Saccharomyces cerevisiae S288C: one gene and its partners. Changing the gene in region 2 together with the main gene of any one other region gives a genetic interaction. Each region holds a gene or a part of one and is shown on either strand. Other genes may lie near its edges.

Region 1 (7,845 bases), on a different chromosome or scaffold from region 2:
TCTTGGACCCGTATGACATACATCCTATCACTATCGGTGATATCTTAAGACCTGAGTTACCGAGTCTTACCTGCTTAACTAAAACCATTTCTGCCGCCTGATGTGGGTCTTCCGTAACAGCCAAATTACATAGTTGGCAAGACAATTAATATATGATACCTTGTTCTCTGGGTCCTAATATATATATATATATATATATATATACGAAAAGGCTGAGAAGAATAAGGCAGATGTTAGCTTAGCTTCTTTTACTCAAGCAATGAAAACAAAATCGAAGGGAAACAAATTCAAACCAAGCGGCCGAGTTATCTCCCGTTCCTAACCTACTACACTAATCACATTTTTCCGTGGAAATAACGTTATTGAAAATGCGTTCTTGCCTGCCATACGTGGGTGAAATACTTCCACGTTCGCAAAAAATACTTCCACGGTGACGAAGTCTGTCTCAGTCGTATATTAAATGCAGAAATCGTCTTATCATTATTGGGCTCTCTTAACGGCGCAGCATCACCGGGTGATGAATGCCAAGCCGCAGAAAGAAAGAAAAAAATTTACTTCAGATTTCTGATAAAAATAAAACGGAAGAGATGAAAGCTAATAATAGAAACAGCTCGATCTTCCTCTGAACAATAATAATTAAAGGACAGACAAAAAGAAACGTAAGAAAGAAGCGAGCCTGTTCTAAAGTGTTCAACGACTGATTCAATTAGAACTGCCTACTCCTGATAGCCAACTCAACTTTTGACTCGTTAAAGTAATTGAAAGCTGGCAAGCAGAATTATTCTTTTTTTTTTTCAAGGTTTCTATCACGTTGTGAGGTTAATATCCCCCGGAGCAAACAGGCTGAAGCGTGAAAAAAACTTAAATATTAAAGTGTCGCAAAACTATACTATAGATACAACATGGGTAGACGGAAGATTGAAATCCAGAGAATTTCTGATGACAGAAATAGGGCTGTCACGTTTATAAAACGTAAAGCTGGCCTTTTTAAGAAGGCCCATGAACTATCCGTTCTTTGTCAAGTAGACATAGCCGTCATTATACTGGGGTCCAATAACACGTTCTATGAGTTTTCCTCTGTGGATACGAATGATTTAATCTATCACTACCAAAATGACAAAAACTTGCTTCACGAAGTGAAAGATCCTTCCGATTATGGAGACTTTCACAAAAGTGCATCCGTTAACATAAATCAAGACCTACTCAGGTCGTCTATGTCAAATAAGCCTTCGAAATCAAATGTTAAAGGAATGAACCAGTCAGAAAATGATGATGATGAGAACAATGATGAGGACGACGATGATCATGGCAATTTTGAGAGGAATTCAAATATGCATTCGAATAAAAAAGCCTCTGATAAAAATATACCGAGTGCACACATGAAGTTGTTATCCCCGACCGCACTCATTTCAAAGATGGATGGTAGTGAGCAAAATAAACGTCATCCTGAGAACGCGCTGCCGCCTTTACAACATTTGAAAAGATTGAAACCGGATCCTTTGCAAATAAGTAGAACTCCGCAACAGCAACAGCAGCAAAATATATCGAGACCATACCATAGTAGCATGTACAATCTTAACCAGCCTTCATCCAGTTCATCTTCTCCTTCCACGATGGATTTTCCAAAATTACCAAGCTTTCAAAACTCTTCCTTTAATGGTCGTCCTCCACCCATTTCCATTTCACCGAACAAGTTCAGTAAGCCATTTACAAATGCATCCTCAAGGACCCCTAAACAGGAGCACAAAATTAACAATAGTGGCAGCAATAATAATGACAACAGCAACTACACTCAGTCACCATCTAATTCTTTGGAAGACTCTATTCAGCAGACTGTCAAAGCAAGAAGGAAATTGTCCGCCAGACCGGTACTTCGTGTGAGAATTCCGAACAACAATTTCAGCAGTAATTCCGCTATTCCAAGTGAACCCTCCTCTGCCTCCTCCACATCGGCCAACGGCAATAGTATGGGCTCTTCGCAGATAATGAAAGAAAACAAAACAAGTAGGTCTAGCAAAATTTCTCCACTATCCGCATCTGCCTCAGGCCCCTTAACTCTCCAAAAAGGTAATAATGGCAGAATGGTAATAAAATTGCCAAATGCAAATGCGCCTAACGGTTCTAACAATGGTAATGGCAGTAACAATAACAATCACCCTTATCCTTTCGGAAGTGGGTCTTCACCTCTTTTTTCTGCAACACAGCCATACATTGCCACTCCCTTGCAACCATCGAATATTCCTGGCGGACCTTTCCAACAAAATACATCTTTTTTAGCTCAAAGACAAACCCAGCAATACCAACAAATGTCTTTCAAAAAACAGAGCCAAACAGTACCATTAACTACAACATTAACCGGACGCCCCCCTTCAACTTTTTCCGGCCCTGAAACCAGCAATGGCCCTCCAACTGGTTCACTGCCATCGAAGTTCGTACATGATTTGATGAGTAATTCTCCAAATGTTTCTTCTATATCGATGTTTCCAGACTGGTCAATGGGACCCAACAGTGCCAAGCCGGGAAACACAAACAATCCTGGTACTTTCCCTCCCGTACAGACGGCCGTAAACAACGGCAACTCCAGCAATATCAGCAGCACTAACAACACTAACAACAACAACAACAATAACAACAACAACAGCAGCAACAACAACAGCAACAACGGCAACGACAATAACAGTAACAATAGCAATAACAGTTACTATAGTAATAATGAAGATGCACCCGTAAATGGAGCTGCTATTTCAGAACATACTACCGATGGTGACTCGAACAATCAGTCCAACTCAAGTACATATGATGCTGCTGCCACCGCATATAATGGAAATACCGGGCTGACTCCATACATAAATACTGCTCAAACACCACTAGGCACTAAATTCTTTAATTTTTCGACTGATATTTCAGGAGAAAAAAATTCAAGCAAAATATAAACCAAAAAATTTGACCAGTATGAATATTCCAAGCATAAGAAACTTCTTTTCATTTAAAAAATTTATATTTATATTATTGTAAATGCACATATTTACGTAGTGAATAACCCAAACAAGGAAGAAAAACGAAAAACTCAATTGCATTTTCTGAATAATGATAGTATTTAAGTACTCTTTTGTGCATTAGCAACTAAAATGAATTGCCGCCTGGCCTGGAGTTTGATGTAAGCAGAAGCCGGAAGAAGACAAGAGGTTCATTCAGAGAAAACATCCGTACATTCGAGTTCTCATTGAACCCATACATTTCAACTATTTTTACATAGTTCGTTTTTCATGTGTAAAATTGTCATCGACGCGCCGGAGCATCGGAAAGTTGGAACGTGCGCGATTGCACCAATCCCACTGGGGCCGTGCATTCTGTAGGCAGGAAGCCACTGGACACTCTGCCCGTTCCCACTTGGAAGATTGGCGTAATTCCACGCTCCTCTATCGATTCTAGCGGGAAAGTTATCTCTCCTGGTAAGCGTTGGAGGAATGCCGCTACCTAGGTAAGTCTACTGGGTGGGAATTCCAGTACCGACGTCTAGGAACATCATGATGCTGCAGTTTCTTTGAAATTTCATATACAGTGTTACCAAGGATAAAGTGGTTAATGCTTATTCGTCATTGAATTTTTATATTTGCTTAAGAGAAGTGACAAAAGAGTGAAGACAGACTATACATCATGAAGGTATGATTTATGATACTATTATTGAGGGGCAACAGAGAACTTTATATGTGGAAAAATGGCATGAAAGTTTGAAAGTGAGAAAGAACTAAACAGAACCAGACGTCGTAAAGATTTTAGAAATTTTTTATGGAAAGAAGCAGGAAGACTACCATATACTAATTGATGCGTTTGTGGCGTTATTTTTAAACAAACAGAGCGGGTTTACATATACTGTTACTACAAACCGTGAAATTGAAGCAGTTCATATACTTGGAGTATAGTCAATAAAAGACAAGCTTTTTCATCTTCCACTTAATAATTTCTCTAGAGTAATAAACTTCACCCTATTCAAACATTAATTTTGCAATAGTATACTAACAAATTTTCTTAATAACCTGTTGAAAATTTAAAATAGTTGAACATTTCTTACCCAGTTAACGGGTCTCAAAAGACCTTCGAAATTGATGATGAACACCGTATTCGTGTTTTCTTCGACAAGAGAATCGGTCAAGAAGTCGATGGTGAAGCCGTTGGTGACGAATTCAAGGGTTACGTCTTCAAGATCTCTGGTGGTAACGACAAACAAGGTTTCCCAATGAAGCAAGGTGTTTTGTTGCCAACTAGAATCAAGTTGTTGTTGACCAAGAACGTTTCTTGTTACAGACCAAGACGTGATGGTGAAAGAAAGAGAAAGTCCGTCAGAGGTGCCATTGTTGGTCCAGATTTGGCTGTCTTGGCTTTGGTCATTGTCAAGAAGGGTGAGCAAGAATTGGAAGGTCTAACTGACACTACTGTTCCAAAGAGATTGGGTCCAAAGAGAGCTAACAACATCAGAAAGTTCTTCGGTTTGTCCAAGGAAGATGACGTTCGTGATTTCGTCATCAGAAGAGAAGTCACCAAGGGTGAAAAGACTTACACCAAGGCTCCAAAGATCCAAAGATTGGTTACTCCTCAAAGATTGCAAAGAAAGAGACACCAAAGAGCTTTGAAGGTCAGAAACGCTCAAGCTCAAAGAGAAGCTGCTGCCGAATACGCTCAATTGTTGGCTAAGAGATTGTCTGAAAGAAAGGCTGAGAAGGCTGAAATCAGAAAGAGAAGAGCTTCTTCTTTGAAGGCTTAAAGTTAGAAAGCAGTAAAAGATAAATTCTTTTGTTCAAAAACTCCTTTCTTATTCTGTATTTTGTGTATTTTTAAGCTTAAAATCAAATAACTTTATTTTTTATATAATTAACAAAAAGAAAAATAATCATATGTATTGTAAACGAGAGTCGGAATGTATCCTCAACTGAATATCCAAGCGAGTCCACAGTAGCTAATAGTCTGAAAAAAAAAGGAACCCTTGTCCTTGAACAGAAATGACAAAATTACTACGTATTTCAGGATGCTATATAAGATTGTTTACAAGAGTACAAAAGTCCAGTATAGCAACAGCAGATTGGACGTCTAGTTTCGTTGCTTCATCTCATAGTAACCAATTCTTCTGCGCTAGTCGGATGAATAGCAACACAATTATCGAAATCAGCCTTAGTGGCACCCATCTTTATAGCAACACCGAACCCTTGCAAGATTTCTGCAGAGGAATCACCAACAATGTGCAGACCGACAACCTTTTCATTTGGTCCCGCACAAACAATTTTATATCTTGTGGGTGATTTCTCACTCAACATAGCATAGTACATGGCGGTAAATTTGGAATTGTAGACCTTTATATTCTCCTTACCGTACTTTTCAATGGCTTCCTTCTCAGAAATACCAATGGAACCGGCTTCAGGATGTGAGAAAATTACGCTGGGGACGTTCTCGTAATCTAGTTTGTCATTACGGAATTTCTCTGGACCAAACAGTCTATTAGACAGCTTTCTGCCCGCTGCAATAGCGACAGGTGTCAATTCAACTTTTCCAACAACGTCACCTAGAGAATAAATGTTTGGAACATTGGTGTTCTGATATTCATCAGCAATTATTTGGTCATGAGAGTTCAGCTTTATACCTACATTTTCTGAACCCATACCTAGATGGGATTTACGTCCAATTGTCCAAATTAATTCGTCAACGTCATCGATGGACTTTGAGTCATTCATATGTATTTTCAGTTTGTCAGTTTCTACATTTTTCTCCACCTTAACAATTTTGGATAGTTTATGAACGTTGATGCCTTCCTTTACGTAATGGTCAGTAATAGTGTTCTGGATGCATTCATCAAATTTTCTCAAGACAGTTTCACCTCTAATTACCAAGTGCGTTTCGGATCCCAGCCCATGGAACACACCTGCTAGCTCAATACCAATATAACCAGCGCCAACAACAACAACTTTCTTAGGTTGTTCTTCCAATCTAAAGAACCCATCAGAATCAGTACCTAATTCGAAACCTGGAATGTTTTCGGGGAAAATAGCCTTTCCACCGGTCGCAACTAAAATATGGTTAGCGGAGTAAACTTCAGTAGTATTATCCCTTTTCTGAACTTCAACATTACCGTCCTTATTGAATCTAGCCCATCCAAATACAACATCCACTTTTTCTTTTTCTAAATTCTTCTGGTATATACCGTTCAACCTATGGACATAAGCATCCCTTTTCTGCTTAAATTCTGGCCAATTAAAAGTCAAATGCTCTTTATCTAATGGAAGATTCTGATATAATCCATATTCATTTGCATGGGATACTCTAGTAGCGAGGTCAGAAGCATACCACATGACTTTCTTCGGAACACAACCCACGTTAACACAGGTACCACCAAGAGCCTTAGCTTCAACTAGTAATGTCTTCGCACCATAAGATGCAGCTCTTCTTGCGGAAGCAACACCCCCTGAGCCACCCCCGATGACGAGGTAATCGTAATGCTTGGTGTTCGTGGACATAGTTCTTATCTGTAGACTTCTAAATGTTTGTTTGGTTGCAGAAAGCATAAAGTTCTGTAAACTAATATGTAAATAGATATATATACATATGAAGGAAAGCAGCAAAATATACTGAGAGTGAGAAGCGCATGAGAAAAACCAGAAGTGTTTCTTATACTTTTTTAGACTGATTTTAATAGTAGATTCCAAATGGAAAGCTCCGAAATCCTCGAAAAATTGACAAGGGTCGTGCTTACTAAGTGACGTCAAAAAATATCAGGCATAGTGAAAACCAACGTGAAGAAGCAAAAGCAGCAAAGCGCCGTGCAAATGAATTAAACTATCTATTGAGACTCCTACATGAAATGCTTGCCAATTATGTACGTATAAAACCAACAATTTTATGCTAAACGCGTAAAATCTAGAGCCGAGTTTGATTCTTCCACGCTTTCAATGCTGTTATACGGAGAAACTGTCGTCTTTTCCGTACCTGACTCTGAAAATAATGAAGATTTACGGGCAGCATGCAGCATCTTTTTAGAATACTCATGCAATGTGCATAAAAGGCATAGAATTGACCAACAAACGCAAACACCGCCGTATATGGTTCCTAGGACTCTAAATGCATATAAGGGAACGTACTGGTTATACTGCACATATAACTCTTCGTTTCCTAAAGACATAGTACCCATCGGGAAAGTCATCCCCCAAAAACCTTTGTGGAAGGTATAAACTCTCTTCACTTTTCCTGTCTCGTTTTCAATCTCTTTTTTATTGTAGTACGACAGGATTGAAACGACAGAAATCACGGTGAAAAAATAGCCCATAGCGAGCAATGCCATAGCAGAAACCATGCCTAGAATTTTGAAACACCATGGAACTGCAATAGTCAATATCTCTTGTTCTCTTGTAATGTTATCTGTTGGGTAATATTTGCCCGCATATTTTTTTATATTATCTGTAAGCAATAAGACTCCAAAACTTCCTTGGCCCATCGGGCCCAAAAGCAGGAATAAGGTGAAAACCTGTGTCATTGGTGGTATCTTATTAATATAAAGACTCCAGAAGTATATCGCAATCAGTATGAAGACGAAGATAATGGCATGCAGCCACGTTAAGGCACATATGACCAACGTTATCAGTTGAATGTTTCTATTAAACGCATGGAAGAATATTTCTGACATTGTGAATGTTCCACAACTTGAAGCGACGACAACCAGCGGAATGATATCCAGTAGCAATACACTTTTCATGTTTTCGGATGCCATTTTGATATTATATGAAGGATAATTCCCAATCCCTTCCAAAGGGTAATAGTCATGCCAGATGAGAAACGAGATACCCCACGCTATTACTAGACAGA
Region 2 (5,889 bases):
AGGCAAGAGTTTTAATTTTGCCAGCGAAATGTTCTGCCATTTTCATCTTTACCGCTCGAATTAGTGATGTTCCAGACGAAGGTAACATAGAGTGATCGATAGGTTCTTCAATTCATCAAGCATTATCTCAGAATTGTGTTTGGTAAGCTCTCTTCGAGAAAAGGAAGAACAAAAAAAAAAAAAATAAAGCAAAGAACAGGTTATAACGCTATGGGTAACTTTCCAGCTCCAAAAAACGATTTGATATTGAGAGCCGCAAAGGGTGAAAAAGTCGAGAGACCGCCATGCTGGATAATGCGCCAGGCAGGTCGTTACCTGCCGGAATATCACGAGGTGAAAAACAATCGTGATTTCTTTCAAACTTGCAGGGATGCGGAAATTGCTTCTGAGATTACTATCCAGCCGGTAAGACGCTATAGAGGCCTCATTGATGCTGCTATTATTTTTAGTGATATCTTAGTTATTCCGCAAGCCATGGGTATGAGGGTCGAGATGCTCGAAGGTAAAGGTCCACATTTCCCAGAACCTTTAAGAAATCCGGAAGACCTCCAAACGGTATTAGACTACAAGGTTGATGTTTTGAAAGAGTTAGATTGGGCTTTCAAGGCAATCACCATGACAAGGATCAAGTTGGATGGTGAGGTTCCCTTATTTGGCTTTTGCGGGGGACCTTGGACTCTAATGGTTTATATGACGGAAGGCGGTGGATCCCGTCTTTTCAGATTTGCCAAACAATGGATTAACATGTATCCAGAGCTTTCTCACAAATTATTACAAAAAATCACTGATGTGGCCGTGGAGTTTCTGAGTCAGCAAGTCGTGGCGGGTGCTCAAATACTACAAGTTTTTGAAAGTTGGGGTGGTGAGCTTTCGTCTGTAGATTTTGATGAGTTTTCCCTACCATATTTAAGACAAATTGCCGAAAGAGTGCCTAAAAGATTGCAAGAATTAGGTATCATGGAACAGATTCCTATGATCGTTTTTGCGAAAGGGTCGTGGTATGCTTTGGACAAGCTATGCTGTTCAGGATTTGACGTTGTTTCGTTGGACTGGTCCTGGGACCCAAGAGAAGCGGTAAAAATAAACAAGAACCGTGTCACCTTGCAGGGCAACCTGGATCCTGGCGTCATGTATGGTTCTAAAGAGGTAATAACAAAGAAAGTTAAACAGATGATTGAGGCTTTTGGAGGTGGGAAGTCCCGCTACATTGTTAATTTCGGTCACGGTACCCACCCTTTCATGGATCCAGACGTCATCAAGTTTTTCTTGGAGGAGTGCCACAGAATTGGTTCGAAGTAATGTGGAAATATTGATTCTTATAGTGTTATAAGTGATAATATACGTTTATGTAAATAATATCTTTTTCACAACGTTCAAAAGTGGCCTTTTTTCTTTTTTCGATATTCTGTATATTTATTACGATTTTTTTTTTTTTCAGATATTTATTTTTGCAGGTTCTCTGAATGGATGTAGTGACAAAATCTTAAATAGAAGAAAATAAAAGATGAAGGTATATGAAAATAAATGAGAATGCATATCACCTTTCCTTCGAAGAAAAAGGATTTTCAAAAGATCTGCACGCCTGTTGACAAGCTTCCAATAGCATGAATTCACAAAAGGCGAGTAAAATGACTGGCTCACTAAAAAAGAATGATCTTTATATTTTTGATTTGTCTGAGCAACTTCTGAATTCATTGAAATTGATGAGCTTTGACTCCACACTGCGAGAAGTTGAAGTAGAGAAGACATCTGATAATGATAGAAACAAGGAGTCTGGAGATCTCCAAATAGCAAGAAAGAAGGTCACATCAAATGTTATGCGTTGTAGTGTTTGTCAAATGAGCTTTGATTCCAGAAATGAACAAAAGGCCCACTACCAGACTGATTATCATTTGATGAATGTTAAGCGTAACCTTAGGGGGCTGGATATCCTATCCGTTGAGGAATTCGATGCGCTGATTTCTAAGGAGCATGGTATCAAGTCTGAAGACGAAAATTCTGGCGGCGAGCAAACTTCAAGCGATCACGAAGAAAGTGAGGAAGCCAGCGATCGGGACCCGGACCTACAAACTAATAATTATATGGAAACTATAATCGAAAATGATTTGCAGAAATTAGGGTTCCAAAAAGACGAGTCGGATGCTATTAGCCATATTAATACCCAATCGCCCTACATTTATTTCAAATCGAAGTATCTTCAAAAGAATGAGGTCTTGGCGATTTATAAGTCTCTATTTAATAAAAGGAGTCTTTCCAACCCCAATGAAGCTTTGACTTTTTGGAATTCGCAAGAGAACCCAATGGCCATTTCAGCTCTGTTTATGGTGGGAGGTGGACATTTTGCGGGAGCAATTGTTTCTCATCAAAGACTCAATGTCAAGGGGAACGCGCACAAGAAGGACGAAACCTTAATTGAGCAAGCGGTCAATTTCTTAGAGCACAAGACGTTTCACAGGTATACTACCAGAAGGAAGCAAGGTGGTTCTCAGTCAGCAATGGACAATGCAAAGGGAAAAGCTAACTCTGCCGGTTCAGCACTTCGTAGGTACAATGAAAGCGCTTTAAAAACAGATATACAGGGTGTGTTGAAGGACTGGGAACCTTATCTGTCAAAGTGTGATAATATTTTTATTCGAGCTCGCAATGTCAGTGATAAAAAAATTTTTACTGATAATACCGTTCTGAACAAGGGTGATGAAAGGATAAAGAGCTTCCCTTTTACCACGAACAGGCCCACTGTATTAGAATTGAAGAAGGCATGGTGCGAACTTTCCTACCTGAAAATATTACCTAAGCCTGAACCATTGGCAGTGAAAGAAACAGTACAAAAGTTAGAAGTGTCGAACAAAAAGGACGAATTTAAAGAAAAACAAGAACCGTTACTGGAAGAAATCCAAACAGAAGAAATAATTTCTCTGCTGAAGAAAGGAAGGGCACCGTTATTGATATCCTTCTTAAAAAAGAATAAGCTTGATGGAAACTTTCGGTTAAAGCCTGAGAGTAAATATTCCTTAACCCCTACCATGTTACATTATGCATCGCAGCAAGGGATGAAACAGATGGCACTGATTTTGCTCTCAAATATTAAATGCGATCCAACGATCAAGAACAGACTAGGAAGGACTGCGTGGGATTTGAATAGAAACGACGACGTGAGACACGCGTTTCAAATTGCAAGATACAATCTTGGAGAGTCTTTCACTAATTGGGACGAAACTCATATCGGTCAGCCATTGAGCAGAGAACAAGTTGATGAAATCAATGAAAAGAAAAAAGCAATAGAGAATGAAAAGGCAGAAAAACTGATTAAATTGGAATTAGAAGCCGCCAAGGAAAAACAAAGATTTGCTAAAGATGCAGAGAGGGGTCCAGGCAAAAAGTTAACCAATATTCCTTCAATTCAGCAACAAAATTTGAATTCTTTGACCGATGAACAGAGACGCAGATTGATGAGAGAACAAAGGGCTAGAGCCGCAGAAGAAAGGATGAAAAAGAAATACTGAGGAATATCTCATATTCAAATTTTTAGGATTTTTCTTAGCATTTGCATATATTTTCATAGACACAGTACTTACATTTAATAACAGTAATTGAAAAGCAATATTAAAATATAGAAGCCCAAATTTTATATTTCAAATGAATAAATGTTGTTTTTTTTGGCAATTTTTTGCTCTTCTATATAACAGTTGAAATTTGGATAAGAACATCTTCTCAACGCGAAAATGACGCCTCCAGTGAAAAAACATAAACTTTCAATGCAGTCTTCGGTACACTTATGAGTAACCCATATAGAGATCGTACACATTTTACAAGGATTTAGAGACAAAGTAATATTCTTCGTTGATATAGAGGTGTTCAATTGTTAAATGCTTTTCTTCTTTTTATTAGAAAAAGCGCCTTGCTTTTTGTTGTATCACTTGTAAATCTACCGTCCCTTACAAGAACATTCACGAAATTTAAGTGGCTCAGAATGAAAAAGAAACAATATAAAAAAGCTTTCCGTAGTCATCAATTTATTTTACATAACACTAGATATAAAGAAAAGAAGATAATATTTTTATATAATTATATTAATCTTAGTTTCTAGAGTTGATGATATCAACAAATTCTGGCTTCAAAGAAGCACCACCGACCAAGAAACCATCGACATCAGCCTTGTCCTTGAAGGTAACGGCGTTGCTACCGTTAGCGGAACCACCGTATAAGATTCTCAATTCGCTGGCAGCCTTGTCACCCAACTTGGAAGCCAAGAACTTTCTGATGGAAGCGTGAATATCTTGAGCATCTTCTGGAGTAGCAGCCAAACCGGTACCAATGGCCCAGACTGGTTCGTAAGCGACAACGACGTTAGTCCAGTCCTTAACTTCTTCCAAGACAGCGTTCAATTGTCTTTCAACAACATCCAAAGTCTTACCGGCCTTCTTTTCTTCCAAAGTTTCACCGATACACAAGATGACACCGACACCTTGACCTAAAGCGAACTTGGTCTTGTCAGCAATGAACTTGTCATCTTCGTGGAAGTAAGATCTTCTTTCGGAGTGACCCAAAATAACCCACTTAGCACCAACATCCTTGATTTGGTCAACGGAGTTTTCACCGGTGAAAGCACCAGAAGCCTTCAAGTAGGCGTTTTGAGCACCGACAGTGACTTGTGGCTTCTTAACCAAAGAGACAGAGTAGTCTAAGTAGGTAGCTGGAGGACAGATAACAACTTCGACATTTTCTGGGATAGAAGCAGTGTTCAATCTTTCAACAATTTCCTTAATGGATTGTTTGGAACCGTTTAATTTAAAGTTACCACCGACAAAGAAAGTTCTAGCCATTTTTAGTTTATGTATGTGTTTTTTGTAGTTATAGATTTAAGCAAGAAAAGAATACAAACAAAAAATTGAAAAAGATTGATTTAGAATTAAAAAGAAAAATATTTACGTAAGAAGGGAAAATAGTAAATGTTGCAAGTTCACTAAACTCCTAAATTATGCTGCCCTTTATATTCCCTGTTACAGCAGCCGAGCCAAAGGTATATAGGCTCCTTTGCATTAGCATGCGTAACAAACCACCTGTCAGTTTCAACCGAGGTGGTATCCGAGAGAATTGTGTGATTGCTTTAATTAATTTCGGAGAATCTCACATGCCACTGAAGATTAAAAACTGGATGCCAGAAAAGGGGTGTCCAGGTGTAACATCAATAGAGGAAGCTGAAAAGTCTTAGAACGGGTAATCTTCCACCAACCTGATGGGTTCCTAGATATAATCTCGAAGGGAATAAGTAGGGTGATACCGCAGAAGTGTCTGAATGTATTAAGGTCCTCACAGTTTAAATCCCGCTCACACTAACGTAGGATTATTATAACTCAAAAAAATGGCATTATTCTAAGTAAGTTAAATATCCGTAATCTTTAAACACTATGTAGTTAGGTCTCCCTCACAATCAGTCCATTTGGGTAGCACGGTCCTCAGGACGTATCTATTGATGGATTCGTCCAGTTCCATCACCATTACGCTCCCGTTAGGAACATTGGTAAACGATTCAAACTCTTCGTATGTCCATCTAAACCATTTCATCAGGAATACTCTGGAATAAATACCATGTGTAACTAGGACAACAACATCTCTGGGTCTTCTCTCTTGCCTATCATGGAAGTGCCTGAATAAAGTCTCTTGGAAACTGGCGACTCTGTCATATACATCTGCCGCACTTTCTCCATGAGGGAATCTGAAGAAGAAATGACCATACGTAGATCTCTTCTTCATAACGTCCTGCATGCTATTGATTTTTTGGAAATTACCAAAATCTTGTTCCCTTATTCTTGGCTCATCCTTAACCCGATATTGCAGATAACATTTTCCAGGCTTCCCTTCACAAATATTATCTTCATTATTTTCGTA
Region 3 (7,775 bases), on a different chromosome or scaffold from region 2:
GAAGTTCTAGTGTCCCAGAACCTCAGAATATTGTCATCTGAACAAGACGCAAAGATATGATTGTCGAAAAATCTTACGGTGTGAGTCACAGTGGTACCAGGCACATGAACAGTACGTAGAATCTCACCAGGCTTACCGGCATTGTCAATGATTTTCAAAATACTGTCTTCTTCATCACCATTACTCTGAGACTTCACAATGGTTTCGGTATCATTGGAAATGCCGAAGTCAGAGATGGCTAATGAGAAATCCTTTTCAGGTAGATCACCAGGTCTGGTTAAAGAATGGATGCTGGCATAGCTGGTTGCTGGACCCATCAATTCCTGTACAATGTGAATAGGGACCTTTATACCCTCTTTGAACCAAGCCAACGACCCGTTCTTAGACATCGACAATAATGTAGTTTCTCCAGTCTTATCTAAGTAGGCCATTTTGGAGACAGTTTCACCCTGGTACACGAATTTTGGGCTCAACGAGGTGTTTTCAATACCTTCAAAGGCGTCACCATAGTCTTTCACCGGTTCTGAAGCGGCTTCTTGTAGTGGTACAGCGAAGTCAATTTCGTAGATATCACTACCTTGAGAGTATATAACACTTGAGGTTAGAGTGTTATTTTTTTTATCTGGAACAACAACGTTGCTGAACGTCAAGGACTTCCTTTGGTGCAGAACATTGTCCACACGAGACACAAATTTTGGTCTTAAGCTGGAGATATGTTCATAAGTGGAAGGCGTAGATGATTTCCAAACCTTTTTTGGCATTTTTGGTTGTAATGTATAGTGTGTTACAATTTATTTGTATCTTTCAAGATTGGTTGATTAATAATTAATTTTCTTATCTAATATCTACAATTCAGGCGAATATAAACTTTTCGGATCTTCTTTTTTCCCTCCCTTTATACTGGAAGCTACAGAACTGAAAAAAAAAAAAAAAAAACATAGAACATTAAGGGGACAGACTGCATGGAAAAGGAAAAGGTAAAAAAAAGCCCCGAAATGGTACTCTTAAATATGAGATGATAAACGAGGATTCGAAGGAAAATAGCCCAACTATCTACGAGTTGAAATTAAAAGGGAGTAGTGAGCGCCACTATGTGTGCTCACTGTGTATAGCTAAGCAATTACATAAGGGATAGTACATAAACCACCGTATGTTAGGAAAGAGGAAAAAAAGGAAAGACAAAGGTCTTTTGCCTATTGTATGACTTAGCCTTTCTTTGTTATACCCCGGCGCGTTCCAAAAAGGGAAGCCAGCACAGCACCGCATATTGAATACCGCCTTCTCACGTGGTACAGGCACAACTATCTTGCATGTGCCTCTGGGTCTTTCTTAGCGACAGCCTTTTAAGATTCTGAATTGTAAACATCGAGCTTCATCCGAGAAACGAAAGAGGGAATCTTGAAATGGACTATGTCACCATTAGATCCTCCCTCTTCTCCATATAGCCGGTTTTTGTCTTATTTCTTTGCTGGAAAGAAAAAAAAGAAATTGCTTGGTTAATTACTGGTAACCCTCTTTTCTTGAGGCCTTACTTCGTTGGCTTCAGAAATCTGAAAGAGTCTTTATTAGGAGCGATACCAGTATCTATACAACATTATACCATCACTATATATTACAAAAAAAAAAATAACCCCGATAGCGTGCTAGAAATGAATAAAAAAAAAAAAAACAGAATTATGTACGTGAATGCTTGTGAGTTACTGCCTTTCCCATAGGTGGTAACGTTAATTTCTTACTCTTTTTTTTTTTTAATCGTCGTAACCTCTGCCAATGAAGTCACTGGCCAGAAATGGTTTGTAGGCAGTAACAAGACTATCTGAATCAACAGTGCCAACAAAATCATTGATTACGGGGTGTAGCGCCACAGTGTTCCTCTTCCCGAATTGGTTGCTCGATCTTCTTGTGCCACCTGTGTGGAAAAATTTTAAACATTGACCCTGAAGTTCCTCCGGAGCAGCCACTCGAACTTCGTCTTCGTTGTCATCGTCGTTTCTTGAAAAAGAGTACTCCATGTCCCAGTGGTAGACATTACCCGTTCCTCCAACCGTAACAAATTCTGTTGCAGAGGTTTGTGAGAACAGGATATCGACAACGGAATCGCCGCCAGAATGGAACAACTTGGCTATTTCGTTTTGGATCGGTTCCTCGCCGTTCTGCCTATGTGTGAGGTCAGTAGTAGCCAGTTGCACAGCACGCGCATCCCATAGCTTGATGACACCCGTGCTGAACCCAGTGACAAATAGGTTTTCAGTAACTTGAGAGGAATCGAAGGACGTTAGTCGTCCATTTTTCGGTTCGCTTAGCGTCCAAAGCGGTTTGTCCGCTGTTCTTGTGTCCCAGAATCTTAAAATGTTGTCATCTGAACAAGATGCAAATAAATGGTTGTTAAAAAATCTAACTGAGTGAGCCACGTTGGTCCCTGGAACGTGCACTGTACGTAATATATCTCCCGGTCTATCGGAGTTGTCGATGATTTTCAAGATGCTGTCCTCCTCGTAGCCGTTACTTTGTGACTTTACTACCGTATCCATATTTGTCGACACATCAAAATCTGACACTGCTAATGAACCTGGTCTGGTTAGAGAGTGAATACTAGAGTATCTAGTAGCAGGGCCCATCATTTCCTGTACGATATGAACGGGAACCTTGATCTCATCTCTGAACCATGCCAAAGAGCCGTTCTTGGACATCGCGATCGCCGTACTGTCGTCTGAGCTTTCCAAGTATTGCATTTTTGCCACTGTTTCGCCCTGGTAAATCCACTTTGGGCGCAATGGTTTCCCCTCAACATCTTGGAAAGCATCACCATACTCTGGATTTGGGGTGGCTGCAGACTTCGTCTTGCCGTTACCTTCTTCGTCGTCGTCGTCGTTGTCGTCGTCGTCGTCGTCGTCATAGAATGTCTTTAATGGTAAAGTAGTGTCTATTTCGTAAATATCACTACCTTGAGAATATAAAAGACTAGTCGTCAAGGTGCCCTTGGATTTGTCTGGAATAATCTCACTTCTCCATGTCAGTGTCTTGCTAAAATGTAAAACATCGTCGACTCTTGTGCTGAATTGTGGTTTAAAGCTAGAAATGTGTTGGTATAAAGAAGGTGCCGGTTTACGGCGTGCTCCACTCGCACCCTGACTGGATTTGCTTTTCGCCATCCTCTATCCTTTTTAGTTCTTGCTCCCGTCGCTACTAATTGCTCCTTGTCTTATAAGTAAATGTAGCTGTACAGCAGAGATGTTCCATACGTCAGCTAACTAATTGCCTTTAATCTTTTTTTTTTTTATTTTTTTTTTTTTTCAAAAACAATAGAATTGAAGATGTGAGATGGAAAGGGAAATCAAAGTGCCATAAATGGTAAAGGCTTGCATTATGACCCGAATGGGTAAGAATGATCCAATGAGAGTCTGCGGACGCATATGTGCGGAATATGACTTAGCAGTTCGAACCCCGAACGGGGCTAAAAAACCAAAAGGACAAACCTTATGCGGAACATCTACCATCTATTCAAGGGAGTATAGCTTCCGTGTAGACTATAGAAGAAGCGTTCCAGTCAATTCTACTACATCAGTCTTCCGACATCGCTGATTGTATCCTAACCAGGTCCACAACTAAAATTTGTTTTGAAAAGAGTGGCTAGAGAGCGAATACGTGCTCTGTAATTGTGTGAGGCAAGTTGGTCGTCAATTGGAAAATAAGTAAGGAAAACCTTGTGTAGATTGTATTGCTCCTAACAGGTCCCGAATTACTAGGGCATATACCAGTTAGCCCAGAGTTTTGTTTATTACGATGATAAAGTTGCATGAAGTGCCTCCAGAACCAGTAGACCCTGCTAGTCTCCCTCATGATGTTAATGCACATAGCCCCGAAGGAGATGGTAATCCTGATAAGAGGAAAAAAATATTTGGCATTCCGTATCCTTTTTCCAGGAGTTCATGTCGGAGATTCCTTTGGAACTGTCAAAAGATTTCGGTACTGCCCATGGCATTGTATTTCCCACTACATGCAGCAAATACATTAATCACGCCGGCAGTATCACCTGATTCTGCTCCTGACGACGTTTTAATGATGGTGAGAGAGATTTTACCGTCCATAACTACCAAGCTGTTAGTTGCGGGTATTACTCTTCATGTTTCTGCTGGTGTCTTGCTCCGAATCGTGAACAACTGGAACAAGCCAAGAAGAAATAGACATCGACATTTAAAGATATCGGCCGAACAAGATCTATCCCAAGATTCGATTGGTTTAACTGGTGGAATTTCTGGCTATTTATTTGGATTGTATAAGACCTTCCGCATTCCTCCACAAGTGATTAGTGGATACATCCTTGTTCCCGTCCTGATATACCACTTATTAATTATGAAATGGGTGCCGAATTCCATCTCTACTGAGGTGGATTTCGCCTCTATAAAGCAATTACTATCTAGCAAGAACAGGTGGTGGAAATGGCTTGGAGGCCTGGTGCCGTTAGCTATTCTCCTCGAGTCAGGTGTATATCATATAGGTTCGGGGCTCTGCCGTTATTTCGGTGTTAGAAAAATGACTAGCAGGAAAAAATGGTCCACAGCTATCAATCTATTAACACTCGTTGGGTTCGTTTCTCTGATTAGATTGATGAAAGAGGATTCTACGAAACTGGGTCCCAACCAATTCGAAAGCATTTTCAAAAAGATCCGGTTGCTGTTGCACGTGAATTAGGAATCCTTGTGGGAGTAGTGTGAAGCTATTAATTTGCGACAATTCTCGAACAGTTAATTATATTATTCTCAGTATTTATTTTAAATTTCTGTATTTTTATCTGATTAATAACATTAGTGTGCATAATGAAGGCAAAAAATTTCGGCAGAAAGTATATGATTATGAAAAAACGTAAAATACATATACACATAAAACGTACATACATATATAGATTCCTAAGAATACATTATTGATGGGATATTTATACAAAGATGCACCTTCTAATAATCGAAAGAGAAAGGAAAGACAGAAGCATAAAATAATTTAGGTTTTACTGTGACGAACATTAGACAGATCGTTCAATAGTTTGTCATATTTTTTTGTCACTGTTTCATCTTCAACAAGGGGCCTCTGCAAAGGCGCCTTTTGTTGTGATTCTTGTAAACTGTCATTACTCGGGCTTCTAGAGTTCAATTCATCTCCATATAATGATTCCAATCCAACCTTTTCAGAGGTAACATTTTTAATCAGATCATCTACAGAATCAATACCCTTAGCTTTAATAATGGCATCCCTTAATTCGGCACCGGTAGGAATCTTTGGTAAGATTTTTGGCCTTGTACCAGATGTGCGAGAGGATTCCCCTTTCTTTCCTCCGGCGACACTGCTATCTGGTGTTAACGACCCGCTAATTCTCGAAGAATTGGCGGATGAAGGAAGCCCAGAGTTATGTCTTGAGCTTTGGTGCTGTACAAACACACCCCATTTATGTAATTCACCTTCCTCTTCTTCCTGTCTCTTGCCGGCCAGTGAGGTATTAGACGAACTCTTGAAAAGAAGAGCTTTACCAGTGGTCACATCGATGATTCGTCCCGAGTCGGTGGCCATTAAGTGTGGTCTAATTGATGAATCGTTTTCAGGAATTGAAACATCGTTGATTAACCTGTCAGAATCTAAGTGTTTTAGAGATGGACGAATACCATCATTATAGTTTGCGCTAACCGTGCTATCCCCAATATTAGGGAAACTATTATCGGCTTTTGAAAATGGTACGACATCTGCTATATTGGGCATAGAAGCAAAAATATCAAGAATATTTGATAAATTTTTCTCAAGAAGCAATAACCTTAGTAGGTTTTCCTTTTCCTGCAGTGGCAGTTCGCCGGATTTTCTTTTCTCAAACATAGAATCAATTGTATTTTGAACATTATGATGTACCTTTTCCATTTTCTCAAAATATTTCTTTAAAAGATATTTCTTCCCAACATCATTTTGAAGTAAAGATTTGTCATTTAATCTTTTCAAAACTTCTTCTGCTGTCTCAGTTATCAAGGAACCATCAAATATTAAATCATCTTGTACAGTCAATTCATCTAATTTAAAGCTAGAGTCCATAATTCTCTTCATATTATGCATTAAGCATAACGCAATTCTTGATTGAATTTCGTCTGGTACTTGATCATAGTCAACGTCTAAACTAACTAAATTGTGAGAGTCCCTAACAAATGCATACAATGAGGCCCAAAGCGTATTTCTCATAAATACGATTTGTTCTTTCTTTTCATCTTTCGACTTATCGGGTTCATCAGTACTGTCGGATATTTTACTTGCATCGGGCATAGGACTTTGTCCTATCAATGAAACATGAGAGAGGGTTTCACACTTAGCTAATATGCTGACAAGCATGGTTGTTTCTTTTATAGAAAGATCGTCGAAATCAAAATGAATACGTTTCAGTTGTGGAAATTGGGGAAAATACTTATAGCCGGATGTTAAAATCCCCGGGAATAACTGAGGCAAGTTGCTCAAATCTAGAAATTTTATGCTTGGCAAACGTGAAAGATATTTTAGTATGTAGGACATATCATCAACAGAGGTGATATTAGTGCTGTTAAGGGTAAAATATTCCAAATGCTTATAAGGAAGCCTAGCTAGTTTTTTGATCATTCGTTTTGCCAAACTTTCTAAATTATTATAGGCCAAATCCACACCTTGAACGTTATATTCAGACATCCAATTAAAGAGAAAATCAAAACACTCGGTTGAGAATTCTACGTTAGCCATCCCGAGACGAATAGGGTTTTTAGGGTTCATTTGTGCGAAAGTAAGTAGGATATTTTTGAAATGACTGAATGACATTTTGTCAAACCTTAAACCATTCAAAAGCAATTCTTCCAAAGGTCTACCTTCTCTATTTCTAAGAACTTCGCAAAATAGTTCCCAGTCCATTTGGTCTCTGTAGTTAGAATCATTTAAATCTGTCCTTGCTTTAGTCTGAGAAATATCCAGCTTGATCAATGTTTTATTTTGTAATAAAAACTTGCAAAGTAGTTTCCAACTTTGTTCGTTTATCACAACATTTCTTAACCCCAATTTCTCCACTACCGGAGAGGTTACCAAAGAACAAATGACAATCTTGAACATATCATGGGTTAAGGACACATTATCGAAAATGATGTTATGGATCGGAGTTATGGCAATAAAATCACAAAATGATAATATATCCACTAAGGTTGGTTTTGGATTCAAAAATTTCAAAGTCTGCAAAGGTGCGGTTTTACCTTTGACCTGTCTCAAAGTGGACGGTATTGGTAAAATTTCTCTCAAATGACAGCATCTAGTGTAAGCTACGTCCAATGTTTGTTCAAGGTGAGAAGAGTATTTAATGTTATCATCCTGATGTGTTTCGAAAGGATGTGCACCTACATTGATCGGTTTATCGATATGAAGCTTAGAAGCTCTAGCATCTAGAGAGGAGGATTCTTGATCCGTCGCTGAATCTGCTGCTGAATTAGTTGCTCCAGTTAACGGCGATGTCTTCAATTGCCTGGCCTTATAGTTTGCCACTTCTTGAGCCATTCGCTCTGCAACATAATACGCATCCTTTTGATGTTTTTCGGCTTCTTTAGCTGCTTTTTTAAAATTTTCCAAAGCTAATTTATATTCTTTAGAATCTTTTGAATATGAGGGAGAGATATTGGACTGAAAACTGCTTTGATCGCTGCTGTTTGTAATTCCCAGAGAGATTAGTGGGGGGGCACTAATCATATCTTCTGGTATGAGAACATTACCCCTTTTAGGCTTCCTAGAAGGTAGTTGTTGTG

The links. Genes that interact genetically often act in the same process or in processes that back each other up.
Region 1: mutations in VMS1 (region 2) and RPS6A together harm fitness less than expected from each alone (positive genetic interaction), as found in Saccharomyces cerevisiae (2 studies listed by BioGRID).
Region 3: mutations in VMS1 (region 2) and MCP1 together harm fitness more than expected from each alone (negative genetic interaction), as found in Saccharomyces cerevisiae (2 studies listed by BioGRID).

Annotation. Positions count from the first base shown.
Region 1 is NC_001148.4:374,208-382,052, reverse strand, and holds RPS6A (40S ribosomal protein eS6 RPS6A), read left to right. Parts: upstream 1-3,657; coding exon 3,658-3,663; intron 3,664-4,057; coding exon 4,058-4,762; downstream 4,763-7,845. Other genes in the region: YPL088W (aldo-keto reductase superfamily protein), read right to left, coding at 1-88; RLM1 (Rlm1p), read left to right, coding at 903-2,933; glutathione-disulfide reductase GLR1, read right to left, coding at 5,100-6,551; SSU1 (Ssu1p), read right to left, coding at 6,884-7,845.
Region 2 is NC_001136.10:551,650-557,538, forward strand, and holds VMS1 (Vms1p), read left to right. Parts: upstream 1-1,604; coding exon 1,605-3,503; downstream 3,504-5,889. Other genes in the region: uroporphyrinogen decarboxylase HEM12, read left to right, coding at 211-1,299; triose-phosphate isomerase TPI1, read right to left, coding at 4,077-4,823; acid phosphatase DET1, read right to left, coding at 5,407-5,889. UniProt on the Saccharomyces cerevisiae protein: Endonuclease that cleaves polypeptidyl-tRNAs downstream of the ribosome-associated quality control (RQC) pathway to release incompletely synthesized polypeptides for degradation.
Region 3 is NC_001147.6:763,786-771,560, reverse strand, and holds MCP1 (Mcp1p), read left to right. Parts: upstream 1-3,783; coding exon 3,784-4,692; downstream 4,693-7,775. Other genes in the region: WTM1 (transcriptional modulator), read right to left, coding at 1-761; WTM2 (transcriptional modulator), read right to left, coding at 1,749-3,152; HER1 (Her1p), read right to left, coding at 4,996-7,775. UniProt on the Saccharomyces cerevisiae protein: Recruits the lipid transfer protein Vps13 to mitochondria thereby promoting vacuole-mitochondria contacts. Involved in mitochondrial lipid homeostasis.